Lonchura striata: one gene and its partner. The protein of the gene in region 1 purifies or fractionates together with the protein of each later gene. This does not show direct contact. Links are inferred from orthologs where the notes say so. Each region holds a gene or a part of one and is shown on either strand. Other genes may lie near its edges.

What was found.
Region 2: the proteins of PHF6 (region 1) and LYAR purify together in Homo sapiens (affinity purification with mass spectrometry; 3 studies listed by BioGRID and IntAct, with this or other methods). This does not show direct contact. The link is inferred for Lonchura striata from reciprocal best matches to the Homo sapiens genes PHF6 and LYAR.

The regions. Positions count from the first base shown.
Region 1 is NC_134616.1:6,952,067-6,955,977, reverse strand, and holds the start of PHF6 (PHD finger protein 6), read left to right. Parts: upstream 1-1,578; 5' UTR 1,579-1,702; intron 1,703-3,911.
Region 2 is NC_134606.1:13,230,860-13,234,770, reverse strand, and holds the start of LYAR (cell growth-regulating nucleolar protein), read right to left. Parts: upstream 2,288-3,911; 5' UTR 2,219-2,287; intron 1,499-2,218; 5' UTR 1,453-1,498; coding exon 1,331-1,452; intron 1,022-1,330; coding exon 907-1,021; intron 1-906. Other genes in the region: ZBTB49 (zinc finger and BTB domain-containing protein 49), read left to right, coding at 3,724-3,875. UniProt on the Homo sapiens protein: Plays a role in the maintenance of the appropriate processing of 47S/45S pre-rRNA to 32S/30S pre-rRNAs and their subsequent processing to produce 18S and 28S rRNAs. Also acts at the level of transcription regulation.

The DNA of each region.
Region 1 (3,911 bases):
ACTGTAGCCTCCACATCTAGCCCGTGCTCCACACCTTTGCTTCTCAGCCTTGTTCTTGAACATTAAATCTGTAGGATTCTCACCTGAAAACTTTTCCTCCCACAGGTGCCCAGGCTATACAGCAGCACCTGGCACTGCACTGATTTCAACCGCAGCCAAATCAAAGAACCATCACCACCATCTTTTATGTTGTATTTTCAAATGCTACCCTCTAAAGCTCCTTGTGCCAAAGGAGGACAAAAATATTGCCAGAGTAGAACAAAAATACTCTGTATTCAGAGTATTTTTGTCTTCAGAAGTATTTTTGTCTTCAGAAGAAAGCACAACCACTGGAAAAGTTGTTTTCAGGCAAAACTCAAAGCAATTGTTTTATGGCTTGATTTCCCTCTCCAACAGCTGATAAACATTCACTGATAAGTAAACACCAAAGAACCCCAAAGAGAAAGGAGAGGTTTCCCTCAAGACATGCAGCAGCTTCTGGGAATAAATGAAGAAAATTTTAATTAATAAAGTTAATTAATTAATTGATAAAATATAACGAACAAAAGAAGATGGCAGGGATAAGTGTGTAAAACATCCATGTATTGTGATGTAAAATGGATGATGATGTTCAGGTGGTCAGGTGCTGGAATAGGCACCGTCCCTGGAGGTGTTTAAGAGATGTCTGGACCTGGCGCTGAGTGATGTGGTTTAGCATCATGGAATTGTCAAGGCGGGAAGAGACCGTCAAGACCATCAAATCCAGCCACCCACTCAGGGCACCGCAACCCCAAAACCACTAAACCACATCACCCAGCATTGCCACTGCCAGCCCGGAACCAAAGGTGCGTTTGAGAGGCGCCTAGATGTGGCGCTAAGCGATGCGGCTTAGGGGTTGTGGGGGCAGCGGTGGATGGACGGCTGGACTTGATGATCGCGAAGATCTTCCAACCCCGATCATTGCGTTGCGTTCCGTTCGGTTCCGCCCAGGGCGCCGTGAGGGCGGTCGGGGTTGGGGGGGCCGGAGGGGGCACCGTGAGGGAGCGCGCGCGCCGCCGCTCCCCCCTCCCCACGGGGCGCGCGCGCCGTGCCGCAGCGCCGCCCGCCCTTCGCCGCCCGCTCTGCGCACGCGCGCGGCACTGCGGCTGCGCGGCCGCAGCAGCGCGACTCCCGCGTACCCCCCCCCCAACAAACAACGGCTGCGGGTGAGAGCAGCGCATGCGCACCGCTCCCTCTGTGCCCGCGCCGCCCGCCAGCCGCGCTCGCTCGCGCCGGGACCTCGCGGGGAAGCGGCGGCGGCGGCTGCGCATGCGCAGAGTCGCTGTTCCTCACACACCCCCATCTTCCGTTTCCCGGCCTCGCGGAGAAGCTCCGCGGGGGCAGCGGGAACCGGGAGCGGGAAAGGCGTGCGCGCTACCGCGCGTGCGCAACGGAGGCCGCGAGCACACCTCCCTAACCCCCGGTCTCCCGCCAATCGGACACCGCCCCGCAGCGCCGCCGCGGCCCAGGCGCGCCGTGCGTGCGTCCGATCGTGCGTGCGTGCGTGCGTGCGTCTGCTCGTGCGTGCGTGCGTGCGTGCGTGCGCTCGGCGGCGGCGGCGGCGGCGCGTCCCGAGCCCCGAATGAACGCGCCGGTCCCGGCGGGCGAGCGGCCCTGAGCGACCCGCGAGCGGGGACGGGCCGTGCCGAGCGGCTCCTCCGCCCGCGCCCCGCCCGCCGCACGGGTGAGTGACCGACGACCGACCCGCCGAGCGCCCGCTGCCCGCCCCGCCGCCGCTGCGCCGCGCTCCAGCGGCAGGCGCGGCGCCCCCGGCCCGCCCGCAGCCCCCGGCCCGGGGCCCGCCCGCCCGCAGCCGCCGCCGGTCCCGGGGCTTCCGCCGGCCCCTGCCAGCCCCGCGAGGGTCGCGGCACCCCGCAGTATTCCCTCAGGGTGCCCCGGGTGCCGGTGCCGCCCCCCTGCCCCCTCCCCGGGCCGGCGGTGCCGCTCGCTCCGCCCGCCCCGGCCCGCGCCCTCCTTGCAGGGAGGATCCGCCCCCCCCACCTCGTCTCCCGGTCCCGTTTCCCCCAAAATTTCATGGAATCGGGTGGGGGTCGCCCTGCCCGCGTCCCCCCGCGCTGCCCCCGGTACCCCTCGGCTGGGGCGGGCCGGGCCCCGGCGGTGCCGGCCGGGCCCCGCGGGGCGGTCGGGCGGGTCCTGCCCGGGATTTGCCGTCCTGCCCCGTCGGATCCCCGGGGAGGCGGCGGCAGAGGTGCCGCTATCGGCCCATCTCCCGCTCCCCGTGGGAGGATGTAAACTTTCCTGGAGATCCCTCAGCGCCGTCTGCCAGATCTCCCTGGCCGCGGGCTCTCTGTCATTCGTAGTCACCTGCTCTGCTCTCATTGTTTAGGCGTTCGAGGGTTTGTCCTTCTCCCCTCGTGTCTGCCCCTTTTTCGGGGTTTTTTTGGGTTTTTTTAAAGGAAGTTGTATGGATAAATTCCCATCCTACTTTATATAGTGACTGTAGGATGCTGTGTGAATGTAACTCTTGGATAAAAATTTCTGTGAGACTTGTGATTTGGGTTCTCAGCCACAGAACCCTACAGGGTACTTCCTGTCTCCTTTTCTTCACTCCCCCCTTCTCCAAAATAAACCTCCAACAACGAGTGTCCCACCCGGGAAACTGCGAAGCACTTGTAAGCTTGTGACTCTGGTATCTCCAGCGAGCATCCGGGAAAAATCAGCACAGATATTCTCTGTAGCTTTTCCTGAGAGACCAAACCACTTCAGCATCTGCAGTGGCATTTTCTGAAGCTTGTTTACTTCTCACAAGTTTTCCCTAGGTGTCTGAAATTTTCTTCACAAATAAAAATTCTAATCTTTTGACATATAGTTTGGGAATCATACAGGTCACACAGCAAAACAAACTTTACAAGTGCAGCGTGTAGAGATCACTATTTTTTGTAGGAAATACAGGTGAGGTTTTAACTATAATTAGGCTCCTGAAACATGTTTGGGAAATAAACAGAAATTAGAGTCCATGTTACTTTCCATTCTTTGGTGCTGAACAATGTCTCATGCACTGAGAGCATCCCGTGCCTGAGAGTTACTGAACTTGCACTTTTATTTTAGGAAATCTGTTGTCTAAAGCTCAGTAGAGCAGCACAGAAGCTACAAGAGGGTGTAAAACCTGGTGCTTTAAAGATAAAATAAAGATGCTGTGAGGGAAAGCAGCACATTTAATTCTTCAGTATTAACATAAGAAATGTGAATGCAAATGAACCCAAACTTTTCGATGAAGAATGGTTGAGTGAAATTCTGCTTGTGTGATTCTAGGGTACATGTAACTTCTCATTTCTTAAATCAAGCCCATGGAAAATTGATCTGTATGGAATAATCTTTGTGTCTGTAGTATGTGTGTTCCATTTTGGTGGAGACAGTGAACATCTCCCAGCCAGTGATTCCACAGTACATCACTCCTTGTGATCCAGTCTGTGAGACTTGGACAAAGCTGACAAGCAAGATTCTATCAACAGGAGATATAATTACTTTTTTTGTAATTCTTAATCATTTGTTAGCCTGTTAAACGTGGAAAACCAAAATATTGAGCTGTTTTTAAGTTGCATTTTTTCTCATTCCAATGAAATGTAGTTTGGTACTTGGTAAACTAGATTAGTTGCTCTGGGTGATTTAACTTGAGACATGAAAACAGAATTTTGAGTACTTGGATTCAGAATTGTGGGGCTGTAGCTGCATTACTTGGTTCATCTTTCTCAGAAAATCATGTTTTGTTTCTTTTTTTTATGAACAGGATAAGTGCATTTTGACACAAAGAAAAGTGGTCTGAGAGTAGTGTCTTCTCACATTTATGAGAAAGCAGATACAATTTATGGAGAGGTGTATAGATGTTTCTCATGCTAAGGTTTTTTTCAGCACTCTTTAAAAATGTATGAATA
Region 2 (3,911 bases), on another chromosome or scaffold:
ATCCATGCTGGAGCTTCTCCTGTTCAACATATTTACAAAACAGCTGACAAATTTACATATTAATTTACATACTTACAAAATATCTGACAAGAGGATGGAAAATGAAAATAACCCAATGATATTGAGCTATTCAGGATGAGGACTATGAGGATTCCAGAAAGATCTTAAGAAAATGAGTGACTAGGTAATAAAAAAGTGAAATACAGTCAACACAACTTCACATAAAGCCAGAAGAAAAGGAAAAGCAATCTTAATTTCAGATCTAAAATGGCAGGCTTTAGTTGACCATTGGAGCTTAGATACAGTATCTCAGGGTCAAAATAGCCAATTCCATGAAAATGCCAGCACAATGACCAGCAGCGGTGTATAAAAACCGAATTAAAAAACCACACAAAAGTAGATTAACTGACAAAAACAGTTAGAAAGGAATAAAGGACACAGAAAACATAATTGTGACACGTGGTAAATCTATGGTTCTCTTATATCTTGAACAGCACTTCACAAACATACAGTACAGTGGGAAGATTTTAGAAGACCAAAGATATAATTTACATATGCAGAACAACTGAGTAGGGCAGGATTTTTGAGCCTTGAACAAAGAATATGAGATGGGGAGGGATGCCTGACAGAGGTCTACAAAAGCATAAATGGCATGAAAAGGAGGGACAACTACCAATGTCTCTTTGTATACAGATGGGAACATTACACTAAGTCAAACTAGTAAGAGACATATTCAAAACAAGACACTTTTCTTAAGAGATAAACACACACCTGTCAAGGAAATGTCAGAAGACAGCCGGGGATATTGATAAAAACAGATCTCTGGCTTGAGCTAGTATAGGCTCTTTTCTGTCTTTGATAATTACAGACAATAGTTACTGTAGGTGCACACAATAAAAAACATACCTGAATCCACTCCTGCTGTTTAGCATCTCCTTTGTTCGTTTTGGCTTCAAAGCCTTTCCCACCATATTTCTGGTCTTCACTTACACACTTCACGTGTTCTTTATAGTCATCACCCCTGAATATAAGAGATTTTTAACCACAGGTCATTGAAATGCTTCACTCTTCAAACTATGCAACACTTAGCCAACCAACAAGATTAAGTAATAGATAATTTAAATTAACAGATCATTTAAACCCTATTACTGTCAACTCTTAAATTATAAAAATGTGATGTGCTTAAAGTAAATGCTTGTAAGACCACAGGCATTTCTGTCATGCTTACAGCTTTCAGTGAAAGTTTCTGACTTGCATCAATTATATTTGTGACAAGAGTGAGGAAGTAAGTCTGTAGAGTGAGCAAAGCTATTTCCCATTCTTTACATACCAGAAATCCTTGCCACAATCCATGCAAGACAGGCACTGACACTTTCTGCAGATGTTCACATGCTTTTCAACCTGTGCTTTCTTCACAGCTTCTCCACACGCATTGCATGTGAAAACTACCATGTTGGCAAGTGGTCAGGAGCCTCTTCCTTCCCACAAAAACGCAACTCTAGGAATACAAGAAGAAGATCTTAATTTATAGCTTGAAAGAAACACTTGGAGGGCCGAAGCGAAACACAGCCGTGCACCCACTGACAGACAGGGTGCGCAGCCCGCTGCTGCACGTGTCAGAGCTCGTTCCACCCGAGTCCCTCCCTGAGCGCAGGGGAGATCAGCACCCCGGGAACCACAATCCCTGCACCCGCCACCCCAACAGGGAACCAGCGACCCCGAACCCATCACCCGAACCAGGAACGGGTAACCCCCGAACCCATCACCCGAGCCAGGAACGGGTAACCCCCGAACCCATCACCCGAGCCAGGAACGGGTAACCCCCGAACCCATCACCCGAGCCAGGAACGGGTAACCCCCGAACCCATCACCCGAACACCTGTAACCCCTGCACCCGCCACCCCAACGGCGGAACCGGTGTCGCCTGTACGGCCCCAGCGCGGATACGTCGCGCAGGGCCGTTCCCGGTCCCCTCCCCTCCCGTGCGGGACCCCGCCGCTCCATCCCGCTCCCCGCAGCTGCAGACCCCTCTCGGCCGTGCCCCGCCGCGCGGCAGCGCTGAGAGGTGGCCGGGCCGCACGGCGTGGGAAGCCCGGCGTGGCCGCCACCCGCGCTCCTGTGCGGCAGCCGGCTGCTGCCGTGCCGAGCCGAGCCGAGCCGAGCCGAGCCGAGCCGAGCCGAGCCGAGCCGAGCCGCCCCCGCTCTCGCTCCCCCGCACCTCAGCGGCCGCCGCCCGCGCGGCACGCGCCGCACCGCCCGCTCCGGCCCCCGCCGCCCGCGCCTGCGCTGCCCCCGCTGCCCCCGCCCCGCGCACCGGAACGGGAACGGGAACGGGAACGGGAACGGGAACGGGAAGGGGAAGGGGAAGGGGAGGGCGCGGCGGCGGAAGCGGCCGCTGGCGGGGATGGAGCTGGGAGGAGGCCGGAGCCGGTAAGCGCAGGGCCGGGCCGGTTGCTGCCCTGGGGCCGCGGCGCGTTTCCCGCTGCCCGGGGCTGCGTCCCCCAGCCCGCACCGGCCGCTCGCCGCGCTGTCCCCGGGCAGAGCGGCCCGCGGCGACCAGACCCTCCCCTGTCCTCTCCCCCGTGCCGCTCCTCCAGCCTGGCCGAGGCGAGCTTAGCTCCGAACAGCGGCTGTGCCGGAGCGGCTGCCGCGGTGCCCGGCCCCTGGATGAGAGACACTTCACTGGCAAAGTGATTGCAGGATGCCGCGGTGGGAAATGTTCACAGGAAAAGCCTGTTAACGTGGTTCCTTTATTTTAAATCCTGGTCAAAGTATGATAAGCATTAATAGAGAAAAAGCACAATGTAGTAACCCCTACCACCCCCCCCTCCCAGTGTAATACAGCCAGAGACAGGGCACATCAGGATAAATTAATGTGGAACCCTTATTGTTCATGAGATTTGAGAATGGGGCAGTCACTATCTGGTCATGCTTAAAAGGTGGTTTTCCTGCTTCATTCCTTAGAATAGGAAGGTTTTTCTCCTAGTTAGAAGACTAGAAATTCAGATTGTCCTAATAGTTGGAACTGTCATGTTTACAAGCGCACAGGGGAAGTGTTGCATCGTTGTTGGAGGGGGTGGGGAAAAGGAAGTATAGAATTCAATGTAAATGTGTTGTGTTGGAATGTGACTTGTCTATTCAACCTCTAAAGAGGGGACTTTTTCATTTAGATTTTACATTGTATTAAGAACAATACCATGTTAATGTGTCTAATTAATCAGATACATTGTAGAAATGTATGTAGCTAGAACAGCAACAAATGCCTGAAATAATACTAGTTTTCCCTTTTGAGTTTAAAGGATGAAGAAACTGAGGCTTTCCTCTACAAATGCTACTGATTTTGTACATGCAATGTGTTTTTGCATTAGACTCTTAATTATTGTGGAAGTTGTCTAAATTGAGGTGCATTTTTTTGTGGTTATGGAGTTCAGTTTATTGGCAGCACCATTAGATTTTTGCAGATGCTCTGTTATAAACAAATCTCTCTTAAAAATCACTGTTTCATATGTGTATTGCTGTGTATCTGTTGGTGAACAATATTGTGACTCATCTTTAACCAGAAAAATGTTATTAGCGATCAAATTGGAGGTGTAAACTGAAGTCTGCTTCCTTTGAAAGCTAAAGCAAATTGTAAAAATGTTCTTAATGTTTTAAATTAATTTTGCAATTTAATATTCACCTTAGCATTTTATCTCATTATAGGTAATTTAATGATTTTCTAGCATGGACACTGTTGCTAGCCACAGCTGTCATCTTCTGCAGCAGCTACATGAACAGCGCATTCAGGGGCTTCTCTGTGACTGCATGCTGGTGGTGAAGGGTGTCTGCTTCAAAGCACACAAAAATGTGTTAGCTGCTTTCAGTCAATATTTCAGGTATGTGAAAGAAAATTCTTCTCTTTAAAAAGTTAA